3 separate regions of the Mus musculus genome follow, and regions 1 and 2 are each reported to be linked to region 3. Evidence: microRNA targets listed by miRTarBase, many of them from high-throughput screens and not tested one by one. Region 3 holds a microRNA gene; each other region holds the end of a gene's coding sequence.
Evidence for each region. The annotated mature microRNA mmu-miR-673-3p reads UCCGGGGCUGAGUUCUGUGCACC and lies in region 3 at 1,389-1,411, shown strand. An mRNA with a match to its seed (bases 2 to 7 or 8) in the 3' UTR can be bound and repressed. Matches are read on the target gene's strand: a 7mer-m8 pairs with bases 2 to 8, a 7mer-A1 pairs with bases 2 to 7 and ends in A, and an 8mer does both.

Region 1 (4,000 bases), not on the chromosome of region 3:
TAGGCGAGGCCTAATGTTCCACGCAGCCCCTAGGCTATTATGAATCTGCGTCCATCTGAGCCTCAGTCCCAGCTGCTTCTTAGGGCATAACTCCCAGGTTACTAATCTTTGTGGTTGCATGAAGAAACGGCTTGTTCTGTGACCTGCTTCTCTAGGGTTGAGCAAGCTCCTGGAGGCATCAGCATCACCTTCTTTTGGCACAACAGGGTTGTGGTTGGGGCTAGAGCAACCTAGATGGGACGAAGAACCCTAACCTCTGGGCAGTGGCCCATTTCCTATGGGGCTCAGCAGGTGTGCAGCTGAGTGAAGTTGAGGCCAGCTCTTTTTTTTTTTTTTTTTTTTTTTTTTTTGGTTTTTCAAGACAGGGTTTCTCTGTGTAGCCCTGGCTGTCCTGGAACTCACTCTGTAGACCAGGCTGGCCTCGAACTCAAAAATCGCCTGCCTCTGCCTCCCGAGTGCTGGGATTAAACGCCACCACGCCTGGCAAAGCCAGCTCTTATTAAAGGTCTTTTTTTCACAGCATCCCATTAGCTGCCGGCAAGTTTGACCGAGAATTGTACTTGATAGGAATTAAAAGGCGGATTTCAAAGGAGATTCAGAGACAGGAAGCACTGAAGAGCCAGAGCTCCAGTGCAGTTTGCACCGTGTCCTGAAGATTCCAGACCAGGACTGGCCACAGCAACGGGGGCCAAGGTCACTGCAAAGGATGGGCTTCTTCTCAGCTGCTCCTGTAATGCTGGGATTCTAATCCACCACGGCCAGGGGCTCCCTGCTCTCACCACAGACCCAGCCCTCAGGACATTTATACCATGTTCCCACAGGCACATGGCAGGGCATGTGGACACCAAGCAGCAGTTTTGTCCTCAGGAGTAGTCCAGACTTCTTGCCCTTGAGCACTGCTGTCTCTTCAAACTCCTTTTATTTATTCCTGTTCTCATGCTAGAGCCCAGGTTCTCCATCTGTATCCTCCTAGTAGCTCCTTCCCTCCAGGGAAGGATCAGGCAACCTCTGGTATCCTAGATGCTCAATGCCTAGAACCTGCCAGGACTTCAATTCTGGGATATTCCCTACAGACATTTTGACAGGCTTTGAGGTTCTACATCCTGGTCCCAGGCTCCCAACCCCCAGTTGAGTAGGGACCTCTCCACTCTACAGGCCAAGCCTAGCTATATTAAACTCATAGTTTTTAGGAGCTTCAGACCATTTGCTTTTGTGCTGCTAGTCCCGGAAAGGCATGAGAAATTGTTACCAGACAGCACCTTGCTGGGTTTCACTCCTTGAAGAAAGCTTAGGAGCATCATTGCTCTCAATCTTACCCCACCCCTTCAGACATAGCCTTGAATGTACAGACACCTAGGGGCATCCACTCTAGTCTTCTAAATCATTTATTTTTCCATATTTATATTTTTAAATAAATAAGGATATATTCAATTGTAAACTCTTTCTGGCCAAAGAGTGAACCTTGGAAGAAGTCTGCATGCATCTTGGGGCCTCAGGACACCCCAGGGTTTTAAAAGGACATAGAAGTCAAAGGCCAAACATTTGGTCTCAGCTGTCACCTGCTACTCAGTCCCATCCCAGGTCTTTCTGCTAGGTACTGTCCCTGCTCACAGCCAGAAGCAGCAATAGCTGGAAAAAGTGACGACTTGGGACTCCAGTGAACCATAATAAACCAACGAATAAGGTGAAACTCAACAGCATCAGCTTCTCCAATATGGAAAGTCACCTGCTTCAATAAACCACTGTGAACTGCAAATTCTACTGGGAAGACAGCCTTTTCTCTCCCAGACAGGCTGCCCTGGACTTCATAATCCTGCCTCAACTATTCCTGGCTTGAATAAGGTTTGATGTGGTAAGAGTTCCAGACAGGTTTCTCTGTAGCCCCGGCTGTCCTGGAACTCTCTGTAGACCAGGCTGGCCTCGAACTTGGAGAACCACCTGCTTCTGCCTCCTGAATGCTGGGATTAAAGGCGTGCACTACCACAGCCCAGCAGTTTGGTGCTTCTTTGTGGACATTCTCTGGCACCTTAGAAAAGACTGAGGTAATCCTGGAACTTCCCAGTTTGGCCCAAGATCAAGATCATAAAGTCTTAGGGGTCGGGGGGCAAAGTACAGCCATAGCAATTTACATTTAGATAGCCTTTACATTTAGAGGGCATTTCAGTTGGAAAAGTTAAACACGTAAACTAGTGCAGATGAAGTGGGAAATTAAAACTGGACTTGTAAATAATTGTGAGATACAACTGGCATGGTGACTCTTACTAGAAAGACCAGTAACTGAGGCAAAGACAAGCTCACTGTGAGGCCAGCCAGGGCTAATTAGTATTTTATCTCAAAAAACAAAGGAGAAGATTGTGAAATACCTTTAGGCTTGTTAAAGAACTTAAGCTTTAGAAATGAGGCCAGGTGTGGTAGCACTTGCCTATAATTTTAGCACCTGGGAGGCAGAGGCAGGAGGGTCTCTGAGTTTGAGATGAGTATATCTTATATCAAGTCTCAAGCCACTCAGGGTTTTACTGTGAGATCCTATTTGAAGGGGAAAAAAATGAGTACAATTTATGCCAGTGGTTCTACCAATGGGTAGGCCCTGTGTGCTTTCAGAGTGTGGCGCTTTGTCTCCCTAGAGTCCCAAGACTTTCTAATCTTTCCCAGCCTTCCTTGCTCCAGAAACATCTAGTGGCCAGACAGCACCTGCTTTGGCAGATACTCAGGAAAAATACTTGTTAGATGAAAAATAAGCCACTTGTGTTTGAAAGACACAAAAGTGCAGTGGCAACAGTAACTTTCATTCAAGTTTCCAGAGTTTCACTGTTGGCACTGTTCACACAGCTAGCTAGCCTTATGCAGTGTCTACACCAACAGTAACATGCACACAAGCACTCTACAGCCAGCTCTAAGGGACTCTACCGGAACAGCCGGTATGATCTGGGCAGGTGTCCATTTCTGCTGGACAGCGCTGCCTGGATGTGCTCATAGGTGGGTAGGTCAGTCAAATCACCCAGGGCAGCCACAGCAGGCTTGCCACGGAGCATCTTGGAAGCAACCCTCTTGATATCTTCTGGCTTCACGTTGCCTACAACAGAGAGTAAAAGACAGTGAGGGCAAGAGTGGAGTTTCCAACTCCATCTCAAACTGTGTGCACTCAAACAGTGACCAGATGCCTCCTTCCCAAGGCTGAGGAGCCTATTAGTACAGGATGGAGCTTGCAAAGGACTTTGGGGAAGCCGGGGATTGTGGTATGGCAGACAACAGGAGATCCGTCTGTCTGTTTGCATCAGGGCAGTCTCAAATGATCCCAAGCCAAGCTTTAGGGCATACTCACGAATGAGTGTACATAGCTCGTGGGGCAGCTTTCTTGAATGTGTAGCCAACACCTGCCTCCCCACATCCTCAAAAATCACAGGCCTGGACTCCAGGTTCATCATGAGCATGGACATGAGCTGTGTCTTGGCCCGCTCTAGCTCCACCTGAGGACCAAACACCGCAAGTCACCTCGACAGCTGGCTCAAGAGGGGCTGACCCAAACATGTCTCAGCAAAGAAATCTCCATGTGCCCAAAGATGAGTAGAGTGGAGGGGCTGTCCCAGTCTGGTTTCCAGTCTGGCACACTCCGAGCATGGGAGGAACTACATTGGAAAAGCCTTCATCACACCGGGACAGAAACACATGTCCAATCTCTGCTGCTTGTCTGGATCACAGGAGAGCAACATGCATCAGGAAGCCACGCCTGGCTGCACGGGCAACCCGAAGTTGTTGATGAAGCAAAGATTCTGGTGGTCAGTGTCCTAAACAGAGGACCCAGGCTACTATCACCTGGTGCTACCAAGGAGGCAGCAGAATCAACATTGAGCCTCTGGCCAGGTGTGAACCTCAAATGTAGCACCAAAGAATCAGGACCACAAGGGACAGAGCAAGCTGGGTGTGTGGGCGCTCGCCTGTACGCAAGCTCTCAGGAGGAGGCAGGGCAAGAGGACTGTAAGCTTGAGGCCAGCTTGGCTAT
Region 2 (4,000 bases), not on the chromosome of region 3:
TGTGATGAGCAGGTTGGTGTTAAGGGAAATCCTCAAGGATTCAACCAGGGCCTGGACTGCGATGTGATTGTAGCTGAGGTATGTGTCCCCTGTGCATCTAAAGCTTTCAGACTTTCACTCAATACTCCTGTCAGTCTCCATTTTTTTTTTTTTTTTTTCCTCATTTGGGTAACACAGACCAGACTAGAATTGCAATCTTGAGTAACTTTTTAAAAATTTATTTTTATTTCATGTGTATCAGTATTTTGCCTGCATGTATGTCTTTTTGAGGGTGTCATGAGCTGTAGGTCTTGGGAATTGAAGCCAGGTCCTCTGGAAAAACAACCAGTGCTCATAACTGTGAGCCATTTCTCTATCTATTAAGCAATCTTGAATAACTTAAAGTAGCTTGAGTTTTTATTTTCTAGGTTCGTTCCACCAGTCATAAACCAGATGAAATATATGGCATGATTGAGAGACTGTCCCCTGGCACCCGCAAGATTGAGTTATTTGGACGACCACACAATGTGCAGCCCAACTGGTAACATTAAGAGAACAGGCTCTTGCCTCCCTACCTCCTGCCCGTCCCTCCCCCAAAAAACCCTTTATGGACAAAGACAGATGTCACTGAGTTGTATACATTCTGGTAGTCTAGATGGCTTAAGCTTTACCAGAATCTACAACATTCATTAGAACCCAAAGGGCTGTTCTTAAAGCTCTAACTGCCCAAGGATCGTCAGCTATTCTGTGGGCTATATTAAATCTGCCCCCTAGTGGCTACTAAGTATTTATTCAATCTGTCAGTTTTAATGTTTGATGCCAATGGTGAGCATTTTAATTATCCAAGGACTATTCACTAGCAGTGACTGAATGAAGTAGGCCTGGCTACCATCAATTACTAATCCTTAGATAGACAGATCCGGCTGGATCTTGGGGCATGAGACTGAAGCAGGAGGATTGCAAGCTTAAGGCCTGCCAATGCTTATTTAGAGGTCTCAAAAGGGGAGGGGGGCTGGTAGTGTTAAGAGTTTAAGAGTGTATATGTAAGGTGCCTAGGTTCAACTCTTAGGACCACCAAAGAAATTAAAATCCAATCAGTTTTTGTATTGACACTGCCATATTATTTGCTCTGATCTTTTTAAAAGTTGATGTAGGCCGGGCGTGGTGGCGCATGCCTTTAATCCCAGCACTCAGGAGGCATAGGCAGGTGGATTTCTGAAGCCAGCCTGGTCTACAAAGTGAGTTCCAGGTCAGCCGGGGCTATACAAAGAAACCCTGTCTCAAAAACCAAACCAAACCAAACCAAAAAAATTGACGTGGACTGGGCATAGTAGAGCACACCTTTAGCCTCAGCACTTGGGAGGCAGAGGCAAGTAGATCTCTGAGTTCAAGGTTAGCCTGGTCTACATGGAGAGTTAGTTCCAGGACAGCCTGAGATAGGTATCACCAGAAAGTAGAACATTTTAAGTATTAAGCCCTTACAGGATTTTTGGTTTGCCTCTTCTTTCCCCCTTGTTTTAGGATTACTCTTGGAAACCAACTGGATGGGATACACCTACTAGACCCAGATGTGGTTGCCAGGTTTAAGCAAAGGTATCCGGACGGCATCATCTCTAAACCTAAGAATTTATAGACGCACTTCCTTACAAAGCTAAGCGTTCAGAGCCATGGGCTACAGGCCACACCTTAAGAGGACTGTTTACGCAATAGTGTCCCCTACCCTGTATATAAATAAATAAAAGTTTGTATTATAATTGGAATTTCTGAAGTGAAATTATGGCTTTCCACTTAGTGTGTGTCCTTGTGCTACTCTTATTTAGCGTGATTCATTATAAGTAAAAGAAGAATGTTAGCTACCTAGCGTGTTAGAAAAGACTACACAGGTTCACAGTGCTTAGCAATTAATATGCTATAAACAGGATTAATTTGAATTTTACCATGCATATGGTACTCTAAACTTTTGCTTATTCTATGTACGTTTGCTGGTTTATTAGTCTGTAGCTAATTTCTAAGAAAAACAAGGTACCTTCAATTAAAATTAGAGCTTAGAATATAAAAAATTGGCCTATGCATTATGTAAATGAATGCACATTTAAAAGATGTTTCATCAAACACAGATTCTTTACTTTGTAAAACCTCTTATTAGGGGTATAGAGTTCTGCTTCTTACATGCAAAACTGGTAACCAAGTCAGGTAAAGAAATACTTGTACAGAAAAAGATCGTTTTGGATGATGTCGTTTCCCCTCTAGCCCAATGTGCTAAGACTGAGACAAACAGAATTTGTGTGTTTTTGTCAGGAGCAGGGAGGGGGACCTTAAGATAGGATCTCACTAGGTAATCCTGGCTAACTTCAAGCTCAGAGATCCAACCTGCCTCTTGCCTCCTAAGTTGTAGGATTAAAGGGGAGTGCCACCACACCCGGTCTATTTTTTGAGACAAAGTCTGATTTAAGTTCAGATCAAAAATCTTCCTGTCTACTTCCAAAGTATTAGGATTAAAGGCACGGGCCACCATGTTCTGTAAAACCTTTACCTCATGCATCTTAGACTGTTCTCAAACTCACTAGTGGGCCAAGGATGACCTTGAACTCCTGATCTTCCAGCCTGGGGTCTGAACTCAGAGCTTTATAGTGCTAAGCCATAACCCCAGGCCTTCAAACCTTCCTCCTAATAGCACTGTGTATATCAATAATAGTTCCCTTTTAAAGGGCTATCACACATTTTATTTTAAATCAGTATTTTCATTCCTCCTTCACTTGGGATTTAAACCCAGTGCACTTTACCACTGAGCTGAAACCCTAAGTCTCTCTTCTCCCAGAGCTTTTTCTGCCGAGAACAAAGCAAAGCACTCGCCCAATGACATTCTAGGCAAGTTGTCTGACCGTTTTACTGGTATGTTTCTTCTAATGACCCCTATGATTTGCTCCCATCACTCTTCCCTGTGCTTGCTAGTAAGCTGGTAATTTTGCTTACAGTTGAGAGTAAAAAGCAATTCTAAATTACAGTGAATTTGCTGGCCCTGCTACATAGTCTGGCCTCTGCTGAAGAAAGAAAAGGGAGATGGAGGCATGAAGGACTATGGGTAAAGGTCAGGCACTACAGAAGCCCAGTTTGTGTTTAAAAAACAGGCTTTTGGCCGGGCGGTGGTGGCGCACGCCTTTAATCCCAGCACTTGGGAGGCAGAGCAGGTGGATTTCTGAGTTCGAGGCCAGCCTGGTCTACAAAATGAGTTCCAGGACAGCCAGGGCTACATAGAGAAACCCTGTCTGGAAAACCAACAAAACAAAACAAAAAAACAGGCTTTTGGACTCGTGTTCAGCAGATGAATCTTCAAGGCTTGGAGAAGACGAAGGCTACTTCACAAACACCACAGAGTTTGGATTTCTAGAGGCCACCCAGGCCAAGAATACATCCCTAAGAGAGAAAGATACATACAAACTTATTATAGCAAAACCATACCCAAATATTTCCCTACATCTCCAAAGTATAACATCATCAAGTAGCCTAAAAGTCAGATGTGGTAGACTGTGCCAATCCACCTCGTAGAGGACACATATGCCCTTTCACGGATATAGGTAATTCCCTGGGATATTTTGGTAGAAGGGCAAAGTTTTCACTTACTACTCACCTTCTCTACACTTAGCATTTACTCTGCTACTTTCCCCCTTACCTATCCCTCACCAAATTCTTTGACACTGGTAATTGAAATCAGGACCTTACCCATGCCAGGCAAGCAGTTGTCAGTTGAGCTACATCCTCATCTCTAAGCAATTGAACATCTAGGAGCATCTCTAATCAGATACCTACCCACCCACACATGTCAAGTGGCTCTGCCTAATAAGGTCATGCTCAGTCCACACGGGTACGGGTACCATGCTCCCCAACAGTTTCACTTCACTACCTCTTGATTTATAAGGACTGTTAAACTCACCTGCAGTGCTTCACCACACACTCATTGCTGCAGTACTCGTTGTCCCAGTCCTTACTGACAACAGGAGGGTTCTCACAACCAGACCTCACA
Region 3 (4,361 bases):
TGGCTCATGAGAATCAAGGTCTGAGTTCTGGTCATCCTTGTCCCTTGTGGAACGTGTGGTGGCCTTGGCTGTTTGCCATATCCTAGAAATAGTCAAACCAACCTGGTTTGATTGGGGGATTCAGTGAGGTTTTTTTTGTGTGTGTGTGAAAACGAGTGTTTTGTTGCTTGGTATGCAGGTGCTCATGTCTGCTAACCCATACTGACTGTTGTGGAGGTGGGCCCTGGGTACAGATGTACCTTAGTTTCTGAAACTTCAGGTCCATGTGAGACTCGGACAGAGTGGAGGGCAGGAGGGTAGCACCTACCCAGCTCTGGAGCGACATAGAAAGCCTTGCTTTCAAATGTTAGGATTCAGCAGTTTTGATGGGAGGCTCTGAGATACAAGACCAGGAAGACTATTAAGAACACCCCTCTAGGAGGGCAAGGCCAAAGTCTTTGGAAAACCACCAAGGTTTAATAGACTGTGAATTGGCTAGAAGTCTTGGGGGTGGTATGAGAAAGATGGAAAATCCTAGAATAGGTTTTTATTTATTGGAAAAGTCAGGAGCTGGTGTGTAGGTGTTGCCCCACCCCCATGGCTGTCCAGAAGTTGGGCCTTCTACATAGCTCAGGCTTTCTGAGCACAGGGCTGGGTTGCCCCCTCCAGTTCCTACCCTGCCTAGTGCATGAAAACTCTTTATCTGCCATGGGGATGGGGAGCAGATGGCTTCATCTGCAGCTGTGTCTCTCTCAGCCTCTACAGCCACGGGGACGCCTTGCACATTTCCTGTGGGACATGCTGGACCCAAGACTCTGGACCCTGGCCTCCCCTTGAGTAGAGAGACCCACCTACTGACTGATGAACTGCGCTGACCCTGGGGTCAGGCATGTGGCCTTGATCCCTACCCATGGACCCTGAGACTTGGGGGGGTGGGAGAAAGGCTGTTGTGTCTTCACTGTTGAGTCTACATCTGTGAAATGGGCTCAGGTTCCTACCTCACAGGGCTGTTGTGAGGCAGCCGCAATGTGCTTAGAAGCATGGGGCCTAGTGGCTCATGGTGCTTTCAATAAATTTCTTGTTTTAACTAAAGCAGTGATGGGTGTGCTACTAATACGAGGGAGGGTGGGTGTCTTGCTGGGGCTTCCTTTTGTAGTGTAGTGGGGTAGAGGAGTTGCCTCAAACCCCAGAAAGTCACCTTTGTGCTGCCCTGTGTGTGCTTAAGAGATGGATACACTGGGGCCCGATGAAGGGCCTGTGCTCGGTGGGTTTAGGAGAACCCTTTCCTCGTGTGCTCGGGATGCCAGTTTCCTTCTGGAAATGAAGCCATGCAAGAGCTGTGGGAGGTCTGGCTTTGGAGCCTGAGGGGCTCACAGCTCTGGTCCTTGGAGCTCCAGAGAAAATGTTGCTCCGGGGCTGAGTTCTGTGCACCCCCCTTGCCCTCCACACTCCCCGGGGCTATGCCAGGGCCCTAGCTGAGGCGTCATCTTGACCCAGATGGGTGGTCCCATTGGGACTTGGGGCCAACACAGCTTCTACAAAAGTGGTTCCTGAATGGGTCTGAGTGAGTGCTCAGACATTCATGATGCCTGGCATCAGGTATGCTGGTTGAGCTTGGGGAGGTGAGCCCTACCCTCATGGCTTTTGAGAGGCCTTGGGGGGACAGTCAGGCTGCCTGAGCAGCTGAGAGGAGGGAATTGGGAGCAAGGGGATGGGAAATGGAGCTGAGTTTTGGTAGAGCAGATGGTAACACGAACATTACCCCAGCAAAGAGGAAGATGACAGTCATAATCACTACAGCTGCCACATGTCTACCAAGACCACAGTTGCCACACAGTGACCAGCATCTACTAAGATCACTGCTGCATTGCCACTGCCACCGCCACCGTCACCCCTCCCCTTCTCTCCTCTTCCCTCTTTTCATCCTTTTTCTTCCTCTCCTTCCTCTTCTGACTTTTCTTCTTCCTCTGCCTCTTCCCTACACGTCTTTGCTTTTTCTTTTGATTCTTCATCTTCCCCTTTCTTCTCTCTCCTCTCCTTTTTTCCTCCTCTATCCTTCTCTTTCTCCCCCCTTCTGTCTTTCCTCCTTTTCCCACTTCCTCATTCGCACCGAGAAGCACCTGGCAAGTGCAGCTGCATGCTCTTCTGAACACCCCCTGCCAAGAGCACCATCTTCAAGACTTGGGCATGACCCAGCCTGGAAGAGCCAGTACCAGCCATGATGGGGACTTTGGCATGTGTGATTGAGTCGCAGTGCAGACAACCGTGAGAAGACATGCCTCCAGATGCTGAGCCCAGCCGAGAGAGTCCAAGAGCCCAGAAGAACTCTTTGAAACTCAGGCTTCCAGAGTGAGTGCCCTAATGCTGCGTTACCGAAAAGGCCTCCACTTCAGCTTCTGATGGAGCCCAAATGTCCAGGAAAAAAAAAAAGACCTTTTTGATATTCCCAAGAAAATAACTCATCTCCAGCTTTCAAACAAGCCTCACATTTTGTCAGTGTCTCTAAGTGGAGTTCTGTGTTTATAGTCCAGCCCTGAGTCCCAACCCAGCCTCTGATGAGGATACCCAGCTTCAGGAGTCTGCTCATGTCCTTGGGCCAGCACATCAACTCCAGTCTCTGACAGACTCTGGACATCCAGGGTAAGCCCTTTTGATTTGTCAGAGCACAGAGCCCAGCTTCAGCCTCTGATGGACCTCAGGGACCAAGAAGGAGGGGCTTTCTTTTGTGATGTTCTAGACCTGGGACTCTAACTCTCGCTCATGTGTTCAGTCAAGCCCAGAAGACCAGAAAGAGGTAGTTCTTTGATATTCTAGTGCCAAGCTCCAGCTGTAGCCTCTAAGAGAACTCCTATGTCTAAAGGAAGTCTTTCATAGTCTAGACCAGTCACCACCAAAGCATAAACATCTGGAAACTGTTCAGTTTTCTAGCGCCAGGAATCCACCTCCAGTCTCTCACAAAGCCCAAATGTCCCAGAGAAATGGACAATATAAAACTATAACTCAACGATGGTTCTTGAAGAAGCTCAGAAAAAGAGACCGCCTTGATAATTTTGATCTAGGACTCTAGCTTGTTTGTCTCCAGTGAAGTTTGTATGTGTAAAAAGAGGAACCTCTTTGATTTTCTAGAATCAAGACTCAATCTCTCTCTGATGAACTGTAGATATCCAGGAAGACTGGCTCTTTTGTCGCTCTAGAGCTAAGACTCTGGCTCCATTCTTGAGTGATGTTCAGATGTTCACAAATATGGATGCTCTTGAGGGAGAACTAGTGTGAGAACTATACCTTTAGTCTTTGATAAAGCTCAGAATTCCAGAACTAGGACCCTCCCTCCAGCTTTTGAAGCTCAGATGTCCAGAAAGTGGGACCTCTTTAACGTTTCAGACCTAAGAATCTACCTCCAGCCCAGAAAGAGGGACTCCTCTGATGCTCCAGACCTAAGACTCTACCTCCAGCCTTTGATGAAACTCAGATGTCCAGAAAGAGGGACCTTTCTGATGTTCCAGCACTAGGACCCTCCCTCCAGCCATTGGTGAAGCTCAGATGTCCAGAAAGAGGGACCTCTCTGATGTTCCAGATCTAGGACCCTCCCTCCAGCCATTGATGAAGCTCAGATGTCTAGAAAGAGAGTCCTCTATGATGTTCCAGTTCTAAGAATCTACCTCCAGCCTTTGATGAAGCACAGATGTCCAGAAAGATGGCCCTCTCTGATGTTCCAGATCTAGGACCCTCTCTCTAGCCTTTGATGAAGCTCAGATGTCCAGAAAGATGGCCCTCTCTGATGTTCCAGATCTAGGACCCTCTCTCTAGCCTTTGATGAAGCTCAGATGTCCAGAAAGATGGCCCTCTCTGATGTTCCAGATCTAGGACCCTCTATCTAGCCTTTGATGAAGCTCAGATGTCCTGAAAGAGGGACCTCTCTGATGTTCCAGACCTAAGAATCTACCTCCAGCCTTTGATGAAGCACAGATGTCCAGAAAAGAGCATTCTCAATGATGTTATAGACCCAGAACTCTATCCATCTATAGCCTTTGATGACGTTCAGACATCCATAAAGAACTTTCACAATGTACTAGAACCTGGACTCCATCCCCACTCTCTGATGTCCAGATATCTAGAAAGGGGACCTCCACTCTGTTCAGAAGCTAAGCTCCACCTCTAATCTTTGATGCCCAATTATCCAGAAAGAGGACCCTTTACGATGTTCTAGAACAAAGACTGTACTTTTCATTTGCTGATGAAGCACAGATGCCAGAAGCACAGAAGTCTAGAAAGAGGGTCCTCCTTAACATTTTTGAGCTAGAATCCCGGTTCAAGGTTCTGAAACTTAGATACCCAGAAGACCTCTTTATAGTGTTCTACAATTCTGCATTTCTAGTCTCCAG

Region 1: miRTarBase lists Inpp5e as a target of mmu-miR-673-3p. Seed matches in the 3' UTR shown: 7mer-m8 at 1,881-1,887.
Region 2: miRTarBase lists Tox4 as a target of mmu-miR-673-3p. Seed matches in the 3' UTR shown: 7mer-m8 at 1,234-1,240.

What each region holds. Positions count from the first base shown.
Region 1 is chr2:26,394,492-26,398,491 of GRCm38, reverse strand. It overlaps Inpp5e (inositol polyphosphate-5-phosphatase E), which reads left to right. Exons shown (of 10, transcript NM_033134.3): 10 at 521-2,243. The coding sequence ends at 653. Pmpca (peptidase (mitochondrial processing) alpha) reads right to left here. Exons shown (of 13, transcript NM_173180.3): 12 at 3,323-3,467; 13 at 1,371-3,073. The coding sequence ends at 2,904. Among named protein-coding and RNA genes, the nearest start is that of Pmpca, 7.1 kb to the right of the region's middle.
Region 2 is chr14:52,292,594-52,296,593 of GRCm38, reverse strand. It overlaps Tox4 (TOX high mobility group box family member 4), which reads right to left. Exons shown (of 10, transcript NM_023434.3): 9 at 3,911-4,000; 10 at 1,085-3,393. The coding sequence ends at 3,333. It overlaps Mettl3 (methyltransferase like 3), which reads left to right. Exons shown (of 11, transcript NM_019721.2): 9 at 13-78; 10 at 408-520; 11 at 1,501-1,753. The coding sequence ends at 1,612. Among named protein-coding and RNA genes, the nearest start is that of Mettl3, 11 kb to the left of the region's middle.
Region 3 is chr12:109,570,656-109,575,016 of GRCm38, forward strand. It overlaps Mir673 (microRNA 673), which reads left to right and starts at 1,335; the gene lies at 1,335-1,425. Meg3 (maternally expressed 3) reads left to right here. Exons shown (of 10, transcript NR_027652.1): 10 at 736-1,074. It also overlaps a transcript of Rtl1 not described here.